Linked DNA regions of Caenorhabditis elegans. The protein of the gene in region 1 interacts with the protein of each later gene in a pairwise test. Each region holds a gene or a part of one and is shown on either strand. Other genes may lie near its edges.

The links. Proteins that work in one complex are often made in the same cells at the same time.
Region 2: the proteins of dpf-7 (region 1) and Y51H4A.8 interact in a two-hybrid assay, tested with the Caenorhabditis elegans proteins (one large-scale study listed by BioGRID).

Annotation. Positions count from the first base shown.
Region 1 is NC_003282.8:4,798,884-4,804,566, reverse strand, and holds dpf-7 (Dipeptidyl Peptidase Four (IV) family), read left to right. Parts: upstream 1-1,974; 5' UTR 1,975-2,018; coding exon 2,019-2,834; intron 2,835-3,265; coding exon 3,266-3,412; intron 3,413-3,462; coding exon 3,463-3,824; intron 3,825-4,028; coding exon 4,029-4,167; intron 4,168-4,214; coding exon 4,215-4,331; intron 4,332-4,617; coding exon 4,618-4,968; 3' UTR 4,969-5,183; downstream 5,184-5,683. Other genes in the region: dpf-5 (acylaminoacyl-peptidase), read left to right, coding at 77-522, 571-715, 1,181-1,584, 1,631-1,736; eor-1 (Zinc finger protein), read left to right, coding at 5,391-5,472, 5,534-5,683.
Region 2 is NC_003282.8:16,574,577-16,580,369, forward strand, and holds Y51H4A.8 (DUF4136 domain-containing protein), read right to left. Parts: upstream 3,974-5,793; 5' UTR 3,940-3,973; coding exon 3,730-3,939; intron 3,634-3,729; exon of another isoform or gene 3,613-3,633; intron 3,427-3,612; exon of another isoform or gene 3,405-3,426; intron 3,182-3,404; exon of another isoform or gene 3,158-3,181; intron 2,935-3,157; exon of another isoform or gene 2,913-2,934; intron 2,812-2,912; exon of another isoform or gene 2,730-2,811; intron 1,197-2,729; exon of another isoform or gene 1,176-1,196; intron 1,053-1,175; exon of another isoform or gene 1,032-1,052; intron 923-1,031; coding exon 572-922; 3' UTR 518-571; downstream 1-517.

The DNA of each region.
Region 1 (5,683 bases):
TTTCGATATGTACATGAGGAAGGGACAGAATATAAGGCAATATAATTACCGATTTTTCAAAAATCAATATTTACAGACAGCAACTCGTTCTTGGTCTACTGATTCCAAGCGTCTTATCCTTTCAAGTTCCTGGTGCAGCAAGTTGGAACTGCTTTCCGTTAACATCGCAACTGGGAACATTGAAAAATTAACCAATCACTCCATATGCCTTGGAACTTGGTCTCTTCTTGATGTCTATGATAACGAAGTGCTCGCAGTCGTCTCTGCTCCGAATCGCCCACCAAACGTTCTTCTGGGACAACTTCCAGGGACAGGAAAAGCCGAGGAAATGGTTTGGGTGCGAATCGACGAGGCGAAGGCTGTTGATAAACGTCGTCATCTCTTCGAGTTCTCCTGGGAATTTGTGAATCTTGAGCGTGACGGAGCGACTTACGAAGGAATTCTGATTGTTCCAAATGAGGGAAACAATCTTCCAATGGTTGTGAATCCCCATGGTGGACCTCATGGTGCATCCATGGCAAGGTGAGTTACTTTTTCCCTTTTTTAAACGTTTTTCATTTAAAAGTTCAGCTGGCCACGTCGGGATCTTACTACTCTTCTCAACTCTGGATATGCCGTCCTTCAAGTCAATTTCCGTGGATCACTCGGATTTGGTGACGATTTTATTCGTGCTCTGCCTGGAAACTGCGGAGATATGGATGTTAAGGATGTTCATGTAAGGAGAACATTTTTTTAAAACTTTCTCTGTGTTATGGCAAGACTCAACCGGATGTTATAAAGCTTCAAAGTTCCGAAAATCAACCTCTTCGCCCGAATAACTTGAATTTCGCGCAAAAATTAACCCACTTACCGATTAATTTATTTTTCTGGAATTTAGTCGATTTTTCGTGTTTTTATATTGAAAATTTAAATGTTTTCTGACAAAACTTTTAACAAAAGTCAAAAATAATACGAAAAATCGTTTTTAGATTCAAAAAATGAATAAATCTATCCGCTGAAAATCCATGAAACACATTTACGCGCGAAATTTAAACAACGATAATGATTTTCGGTAGTTTGAAGCCTTTAAACATCCGTTTTAGACATTCTTGTGCTGTTTTGCATATCGTTTTGTCAAAGAATTTAGAACGTTTATTCGACTACACCGCATGTATTATCAATGTAATTAATACTAATTCAGAACGCAGTTCTCACCGTCTTGGATAAGAATCCACGTATTTCTCGAGACAAGGTTGTACTCTTCGGAGGATCTCATGGAGGGTTCCTGGTGTCTCATTTAATTGGACAATATCCAGGATTCTACAAAAGTTGTGTTGCCTTGAATCCAGTCGTCAACATTGCCACAATGCATGATATCACTGATATTCCTGAATGGTGCTATTTCGAGGGAACCGGAGAATATCCAGACTGGACAAAGATCACGACCACCGAACAACGGGAGAAAATGTTCAACTCTTCGCCAATTGCTCATGTGGAGAACGCAACTACTCCGTATCTCTTGCTCATTGGTGAAAAGGATCTTCGTGTCGTTCCTCACTACAGAGCATTTATTCGTGCTCTCAAGGCTCGTGGAGTTCCGGCAAGGTATTCTTGAAAAATTGTTTGCAAGAGAAATTGTTTTTTTTTTCAGGGTTCTCACCTACCCACCATCGAACCATCCACTTGATGAGGTCAACGTTGAGGCCGACTATGCAATCAACATGGTCCGCTGGTTCGAGAAATCACTGTCTCAGTAAATATACTAATGTCTATATGTATTTATCTATTCATCGGCTGCTTCTTTTCCTGCCCCCGGTATTTTTTCATTCATTTTCCCGTGATATTGCCTTGTAAATCTCTTATATATGAACGGTTTGTATATTCTGGAGGATTTCAGTTTTTCAACGGTTTTGGTTTTCCCATTTTTAATTATTTCTAGTGGAATTTCTAAATTGAACATCTGAAATTCCTAGAGATTTCTTACATTTCTTACAGGCAGTCAATATTTAGCAGCTTCATCATATACGTGTACAACTATAATGTCTACAGACGAGGAGGTCCCGTTGGCCACTCGTCAAATGCATGAAGCTTTTGTCACAATCTCACAACAAATGCTTCAGTTCCGGGTGAATACTGCACGTATCACAACTCCTTCCGATTACGAACCACAAGAAGTTTGGGTCATTTACGAGACATTAGAGTGCCCAGATCAACGGCAATACATGAGATCACGTGGATTAGTGTCGAGGAATAAACTTTGGATGTTAATGGAAACGGAAACGGATAAAGATTGGAAATACTTCACCCATATATTTTCGGATGATTGTAAAGTCTGCGTATTCGTAGCAGAATCCATAGAAATGGGTCACGATAAGGATGTTATTCAAGTAGAAGATGTTCAATATAAGAAGGCAAAATTCACGGTAGCTCTAGTTAAATACGTATATCATGGACCTATTATTGTGACAGGACCAAATGCTCATTTCAAACTTTCTCGAAATAATAAAAAATTGCTCTACTTTGCACTACCAAATGAAGAACAAAAGGAAACGCAGGGACGTGGTGAGCGCCAATTTGTGATATGCATCTTCGATTTCGATGCGAAAGGAGTTACAGTAATCACTGATGAGAATATTTGTAATCAGACGATCACAGCAGTCGAATGGACGCCTGATGGTCGGGGAATCGTATTTCATCGAGGACAAGACCTTCTCTGGCACAGATTTGGAGAGAAATATATAAATGAAATATCAACGAATCTATCGGCTCCGTTGAGGATTACTTTCTCGCCAGATGAAAGTCGAATGGCTGTATTTCTACGACCGAATATTCACAATGATGCTGATATTATTTTGGTTAGATATAGGAAATTCAAAAGTAGACTAGACACAAAATGTGCCTAAATGAACAAAAAATATATCGAAAATAATCGAATTTTAGCTAAAATCTCAAATCTAAGTCGCAGCTGTCTAAAATTGATTTTTACTTAATTATCATCATTTATTGCAAATTTTGGTAGTTTACCGCACGTGTTTTGGTCACTTTTGGCTACCTTTCGGCTTTAAATATGTCAAAATTACCGAAAAAACGTGAGATAAGCTATAAATATATGCAATATAGGCCGATAATCGAATAAAAATTAATTTCCACATTAAAATTGAAAAGATGGTAGGTTTAGCTAAAAATTTGCTAATTTTTCAGAAATTAGTTCTTTTTTGGCAGATTTTGTATCTATAAATACCCAAAACTGTTCTCCTTAAACAAAACTAATTTTCTTCGTTTTCAGTTCCATTACCCATTTGTAAAAGCTGCCGTCCAAGTGAGACATGACGTGCTGAGACTAGGAAAATCGAAAGTATGGAGCGTTCCCGATAGGCCGTGGGCTTGCAATGGAAAGCATTTATTGTTTAACACGAATTACAAGAATCAAGTGGTAACAAATATATTCGATTTAATTCTGCATTAAAATAAATTTATTTCCAGAATAATTTGGCGATTCACGTTGAAAGTTTAAGAACCACGTGCCTTGACTTGAAACGGCCTTCACTAATTATTGATGTTCGAGGCGATGAATTCCTTTTTGAAACGATCACAGCAAACGCTTATTCTCGTCTTTGGCATTCTCAATTGGGCTCACAAAGTGATGGTAAATTCACGGCATCGCTGTTATGCACACACAAGCCAGAAAACGATACGATTCACAATTTTCACATTTATCCAATGAGTTTTCAAAAAATTGGCAATTCTGCGATACTCTACATGTTGCCGGAATGTGTTTCTCCCGGATCGAAGTTCCCGCTGGTCGTGGTCCCCTTTTCCGGATTAGAACCTAATTTCACCGTTAGGTAGATTTTTTTTCTTTAGACTCAAAATTTATTGAAAAATCAACAAAAAAAGCATCGAAAGAATTGCAAAATTCACGGATCGAGCTTTCAATTTCAACCGCAATTTTCTATCTTTATTTTTTTAATTTAAAAATGTTCAAATAGCAATTTTCCCTGTTTATAAAGAATTGATTTATAAATTTAAAATTAAATTTAAATTTTCAGTACCGTTGACCCTGTGCTCTCTACAATGGTAACTTGTGGCTTCTGTGTGCTAGTTGTAAACTATCGGGAGCCATTTATAGCAATTCCAGGAACCTGCTTTCCAAAGAATTGTGGTTCGGAATGTATTAATGATGTTCATGTAGAGAATCGTTCGTTTTTTTCCTCATTTTATGATTTTTTTTACAGGAAACTGTACTAGAAGTTCTCGAGAGACACGGAGCGCGGTTAGATGAAAAATATATTTACTTGTATGGATTTGAATTTGGATCTTTTGTGGCGTGTAGTCTGATTATCAAACATAAGGTGGGATATTACATCGACGCGAGATTCTGCGATTTTTGGTGAAAAATACAATACCCGGTTTCGACACGACATGTTTTCTTCAGAAATATTTTGAAAGTTTTATTGATAGATCCGTCAGTTTTGCGACATTATAGTTAAAAAAAAACAAAGTCTCTGATTTCGGTACTCCACCTTTAACTTTCAAAAAATGTCGTGTCGTTACCCCGATATTTTTCTATTTTTGGCACGAAAATCACAAAATTTAGCGTCTCATGGATTTTCATATTTTTTAATTCACTATTTTCAGAAATTCTATAAAGGATGTGCACTCGTACGGCCGATGCTCGAATTTCCATTCACAACGTGTGCAGTTGATACAGAAAACCCTGAAGCTGAATTTCTGAAAGACGTGGAGCCGGTCTCACATGCGTCTGAAATTGTTACTCCGATGTTGATTGTTCTGGAGAATAAAAGCGATACAAAGTACAAAGATTTTGAGTCTACAATTCACAATAATGGCGTTCCGTGTTTTGGAGAATACGAAGAAGAAGACGAACAAGTGAATGATTTCGTTGTGAAAGTCATTCAATTTTATAGAACACCATATGGAGAATACGAGAATGGTTCTAGAATTGAAACGCCGGTTCCTGATGATTAATTATTTATTTTTTCTTTCTTGAATTATTACTAACTTATATTGTTAATTCATTAAAAAAACGCCGATTAGAACAATGTCTACATCAGCTTTAATTCGTTGTTAAAATATGTTACAAATTGGAATTTCGCTCAGTTTTAAATTTTTTATGTGTCGTTATGCTCAGATATATATTTTCTTTTTTTGAAATCTCGAATAAAATTTGAATTTCGTTAAATATATAACTATCGTTAAAAATCCATTGAAATAATATTTGCAAATCGATAATCTTTTAGATTGTTCAGTAGAGCGCGTCTGCACACTCCTCACCCGATTTGAATCGGAGCATTTATTCTAAGTTTATTGACGTCTTCCTCGATAAAATGTGAGTTTCCCATCGAATAAATTATAAAATCGCAATGAAAATTATTTCAATTTAATTTCAGATGACATTAGTAGCTAGTTCCGAAAACACAGGGCTCTGTCCAATGACATTTGATGATAGTTCTGGGCAAACCAGTCATATGTGTAAGAGTTTTGTATTTAATTCAATCTTGGCTTGATAATTAAATTAACTTTTATTTTTCAGTGTTCCAACGATTACAATATCAACGAAAAACCGGCCGATTTTGTGATGTGGAAATTGTTGTTCAAAACAAATCATTTGCGGCTCATCGAAACATTTTAGCAGCTCACAGTCCATATTTTGACGCAATTTTCAAATATTGCAAAATCACAA
Region 2 (5,793 bases), about 12 Mb from region 1:
TGGGAAAAAGTTTGGGTTTTTTATTCCCGTAATCCATCATATTACATTGACCACTTTTACCGCTACTTGCCGACTGAATTCACAATTTTTTTCATCTGGAAATTATTTTAGCATTAACAAAAATATTTATTTATCAGTTTTAATAAGAAAACACGGGAAAAATCGGTGAAAAACACAAGAAAACAAAGCAAGTACAAAATGTCGTAAAATGCGGTGTATTGTGTGCAAACACCGATTTTTCGCATTTTTTCTCGGCCCTCGTTCGAAAAAAGTTGCAGTGATCTGGCATATCATTCAATACTGAATCAAAATAATGCACATCTTAAGTGATGTTAATGAAACAGTCAAAAATTTGAATTCTCAAAATCAGATCAACTTTTAATTTTTCGCTTTCAACGCCCATAAAAACTTTATGTTTCCCTGTTTCAAATAACGTTAAAGTATTTTCAACTTTTTCCGTATTCTATTCTGTACGGCCAGATCAAATCCCATGTTCAAACTTCAATACATGTAAAAAATTCTCGCTGTTAATATAATTTTATTTCAAATCCACAAAAAGAAAAAAAACCAATTAACCAACAGTAACAATAGGATCTGTATAAAACTGTGCTCCTCTCTTCGTCGTCAACTTGTCCGCCATCTGAGAAGCCAACATCTTCCACTGGCTCTCATAAATTGCAGAAATCGCGGTCACTTGAACGGTCAAAGGGACAACAAACGGACTTTTCGCGTATTTTCCATCGGTTCCAGCCTTCGCTGCACACTTATAGTAGACTGTGGATTGTTGTAGAACACCGTAACCCGCGGTGTCGGCGGTGCACTCGGTTACTGTAGTAAGTGTGACGTTTGGAGGCGAGAATGTGATGACTGGTGGGTTTATGTCGTTTAGGGGGATACTGTTGGCTTGCAATACGTCGTTGATCTGAATTTTTTGAATTTTTAAACTTTTTTGGTATTGTATAGTGTTTTTAGTGTTTTAGCGCTCTACTTGGTTCCATTATTATACAAGTTTTGAGCAGATAATTTTTTTTGGTTCGTATGGACAAATTTTAGCAAGCTCTCCGAAATATAATCTGGTAAATGAAATATTTGAAACAGTTTTTTTTTGATAATGGGTATAAATACTTTGTGGCTTATTTTGAAACTTAATGTTTCAGACTTATTTATCTTTAAAAAAGAATTCAAAAGATCGACAAACGAATTAATTTTATACAACCTGAAAAATGAAATATTTGAAACAGTTTTTTTTTATTGATAATGGGTATAAATATCAGGTTGTCCCATAAGTTTTTGTACTATTTTTTTTTTTGAAAAAAATTTATTTCTCTCAAGCGACAAGTAGTACTATTCACACAAGTATTCACCATTAGTGTCCACCACTTGTTGCCATTTACTAGGTAACATCATGATGCCACGGGAGAAGAAATCCGGCGAACGCGATGAGAAGAAAGTGGAGAGTTCAGTTTTGAGATGCTCTTCGTCGTCGAATTGCTTGTCGCGCATGTAGTCACTGAGAGACAAGAACAAATGGTAGTCGGTTGGTGCAAGATCTGGAGAATATGGTGGATGCGGTAAAACAGTCCAACCAAGATCTTGCAGCTTTTGGAAAGTCTTCTTGGCGACATGAGGCATAGCATTATCGTGAAGAAAATATAGTTTTTCATATTTTCCGTTGGTCTTTTCTGCAACTCGGTCCAATTGGGCACAATAGTAATCAGCAGTGATAGTTTTATTAGTTGGCAACAATTCCCAGTGCACGGGTCCTTGAACACCCCACCAGACACAGATCATTATCTTTTTTGGGTGAAGATCAGGCTTTGGCGTCGGTATTCCTTTCTCACCGATCGGAAGCCATTGACGTTTTCTGGAATGGTTAACATAGAGCACCCACTTCTCATCTCCAGTAACCAGATTGTTCAGCCAATCGAACTTTCGACGAAAAGTTAGAAGTTGAGTACAAACGTTGACCCGAGTGAGCTTCTGTGATGCCGAAAGTTCATGAGGCACCCAAATTCCAAGTTTTGAAGTAAAACCAAGGCGACCCAAGTGACGTGCAATTGTGCTATGACAACACTCAAGCTTCTCTTCCATTTCACGAAGACTAAGACGAGGCTCTTCCTCCACCAGCTTCACTAGGTCTTCTTCATTTAACTCTACCGGTCGCCCAGAACGTTCTATTTCTTCGAGACTGAAGTCGCCGTTCTTGAACTTTTGAAACCAACTCTTTGCTGTATTATAAGAGAGTGCTCCCTCACCCATCGCACCGCATATGTTTCGTTCCGCTTTCATTGCTGAATGACCAAGACGAAATTCATAAAGAAGAAGCAATCTAACGTCTCGACGTTCAAGTTTGATGATTGTCATCGTGGCAAAGTAGAAATGGATGAAATGAATCTTTTCTGGAAGGGGACGACCCGACCTTGACACGACCTACGATGAAAAAATTTTAAAACTTTCTAGAAGTTTTGGAAAAATATTTGAAAAAAAGTACAAAAACTTATGGGACAACCTGATACTTTGTGGTTTATTTCAAAAATTAATGTTTCAGATTGTTATCTCTAAAAAAAATAATTCAAAAGTGATAACAAAATAGATTTAGTGGTAGGTAGACACATCTCTAGGCTCTTCTCTTTCAGCATACTTTTTTCAGTCATTTCTCCGCTCAAAATGTGCGAACAACACAGCCATTTGCGGTAACGAAAACACCCCAACCAGCTCTCCGAAACCGGGCTGCGATGTCCGAGCGGTTAAGGAGTTGGACTTGAAATCCAATGGGCATTGCCCGCGTAGGTTCAAATCCTGCTCGCAGCGAATACTTTTTGGAAAATATTCCGAATTAAATCTACAGGCTTTTAAATAAATTTTTTAACTCATTGACCGCGCACCTAGTATGTCGCTTTTGAGTGATTTATCAGTTTCTAGGAGAGAACAGAATTATTTCGATTATTTGCAATTGGCTATATCAGTATAGTGAAACAGTGAGAATTTTTTGTGTTAACACAATGAAAATAGAAAGATTGTAATATAATCATGCATTTGTACTATAGAATATAACATGTTTCTACAAAATAAATTTTCAATAAAACGTAAAAATTTTATTTGTAAAAAAGTATGTTTTATAATATTCTTATTAGCTCACTGTTATCTTACTAGGGAGTGTTTCAACTCTACGGTGCCTAAAAAGTTATTATTATTGTTTTCGTCAAAAAAAAAATTGCCTCCGAATTTTATGGCCCACTTATGGGTTTTTTTTCAATTATTGTAGAGATTGGAATATGCTATACTTTTCTTTAAAAGTGGCAAAAACGTAGTAATTGGCACTTTTCGAAAAAAAAAAGAAAATTTCAATAAAATTTTTAATGTTTCAAAAGTATTTCATTAAACTTTTTATGAATCGCTTTTTATTGAATAGGCTGGCTTGATGGAAATTAAGAAAATATATGGCTTTTCATCAAAACTAGACTAGAATTTATAAAGCTTCTGAGAATTTCAAATTTTTTTCAAATAATAATGCAACCGTTAAACATTATGCGATGTGTTGCCATTTCACATTCTTTTATAAATTTGGCAAAATTATCCACCACCATAGTTGGACATTTAATAATTGGACTTTTAATAAATGCAATTATACGAACTCCAAAGAAAACTGTAGCTGTTCATAAAAATTTTGTGAAACAGTAGAAATTTTTTCTGTATTGGGATTTTTATTTAAAATTGCATTTAACTCACCGCACTCTGCACATCCGACACCACAACTCGCTGAGCATAGGCTTGATCAAACTGTCCGTTTTCAAATTCTGCTAGAGAATCATAGGTGTATAGAGCAGGAGGGTTCATTTCATAGCTGAATGTTCCCTTGGAGCCCAGCGTTCCGGTACCCGGAGCACAGGCTCCGGCTGTGGAGATGAAAAAGCAGAGGAGCAGTAGAATTTTAAGCATTTTGAAGGTTCAAATCACAAAAGTTAAAAGTGAAGTTTAAACCTTACCTCAATCCTTTTTTATACCGTTTCCTTAACCTTTGCCCCACAATAGCTTATGTTTGTTTCGATTTGCCAAAAATGTTTATATTTGTCATAGTTATGGCATCATTTTATTACTGATTGTTAACACTTTTTCTTGTGGGTGGGTGTGCCAACAGTAAGAATAGGTAAAGCATACTAAGCGGGGGTAAAAGGGAACTCGTAAAAATTTGAAACCCAAAGATCGAAAAATTGTCAAACAGCCGTTACTAAAATTTGTTTGAAGGCTGAAACTGAATTTTTTTTTTGTTGCAAATTTTGAAGATTTTGTTCCTGGATTCGATTTGAAAACTTTAAATACAATGAAAATCCAAAAATAGGTGGAGCCTATTATTGATTATACTTTTATCGGAAGCTTCTGGTTTAATTTTAAATTGTTTTACACGTTTGAAAGCGGATCACTATCAGAAATAGATCAAAATGTGATGAAAAGTTTTATACGCACGCGGTGAAACGGTAAATTTCGAAATTCAGATTTTTCGATTTCTTATCAATTTTTAAAGTCATTGATGGAGGAGTAGCGCCAGTGGGGATATCATTTAAAAAAACACTCCAAAAAACTCAAATTTTTTACAACTTCCAGTCAAAGTTTTGGCAAAAAAAATTGTAGGAAGTTTTTTTTTGATCGACTTATAAAATTATGAGTGGCAAAATTTGAGTAATAGTCACTTTTTACAGTGAATTTTTAAAAATCCAATTTTTTTTCAAAAAGTTTTACCTTTAAAAAAATGTAGATGCTTTCTTTTAAACCATTGTGTTACTATTAGATTTTTTTCCTATAACAAGACAGTTTTCTGTAAAAACCACCATAGTCACTATTCCAACTTAAGAGGTTTTGCTTACATTTGACTACTTCTGGCAGATATTAATTTCCTGGTTACGTTTCAATTTTTTTAATTACCAAAATACAATTTGAGCGTATGAATAAAACCCAATTTACAAAGAGTATAATAAAAGCATGTTGAAACAATAAAAATTTTAGAAAATTTTTTTTTTCCGAAAAGCGCCAATTATTAAGTTTTTGCCACTTTTAAAGAAAACTATCCCTAAAATAATTGAATATTACCGTTTGAAACATAAAATTCGGAGGAAAACATTTTTTTTTCAACGATTTCCAAATAAGTGCCTAACAGAATGGTTGCCATTTTTGAAATAAAATAAACAACATTTTCAAAAAAAGTTTTGAATAGTTTTACTTTTTTTGAATTTAATGTTTTAAATTAATTGTTTTGAATCATATCATTGAAATTTTAAGATCTTTCTCATGAAAAAGTTCTGAAATAATAACTAAAATATCAGTGACGCAATATAAATATTGTGAAACATAATTTTTATAAGTACAATTTTTCTGTAGAATTGTTGTATTCCATAGTACAAATCATGATTATATTTGCCTTACAACCATTCTCGCTACATTGTGTTAACACAAAAAATTTCTGACTGTGTCACTATGCTGATATAGGCAACTGCAAATAATCTGAATGGACACGATTTAAAAATATTTTTTATTTAAAACAATTTCAAATAACTGATAAATCGATTTAACGCAATAGGTTAATGTTCGGTGCGGTCACTACTCCAACTTAAGAGATTTTGCCCAAATTTGATTATTAGGTCGTTCAATAAGTTTTTTCGTTTTTTTCTAGTTTTGGTTTTTTCTTGGATAATATTTTGCGGTTGTATAGAAGACTGTTAGTAATAACAAGCCCAACAATATCAGCCATATCGGTCAACTTCCAGATTATTTAAAACTCAGAACTATGATGACGAAAAA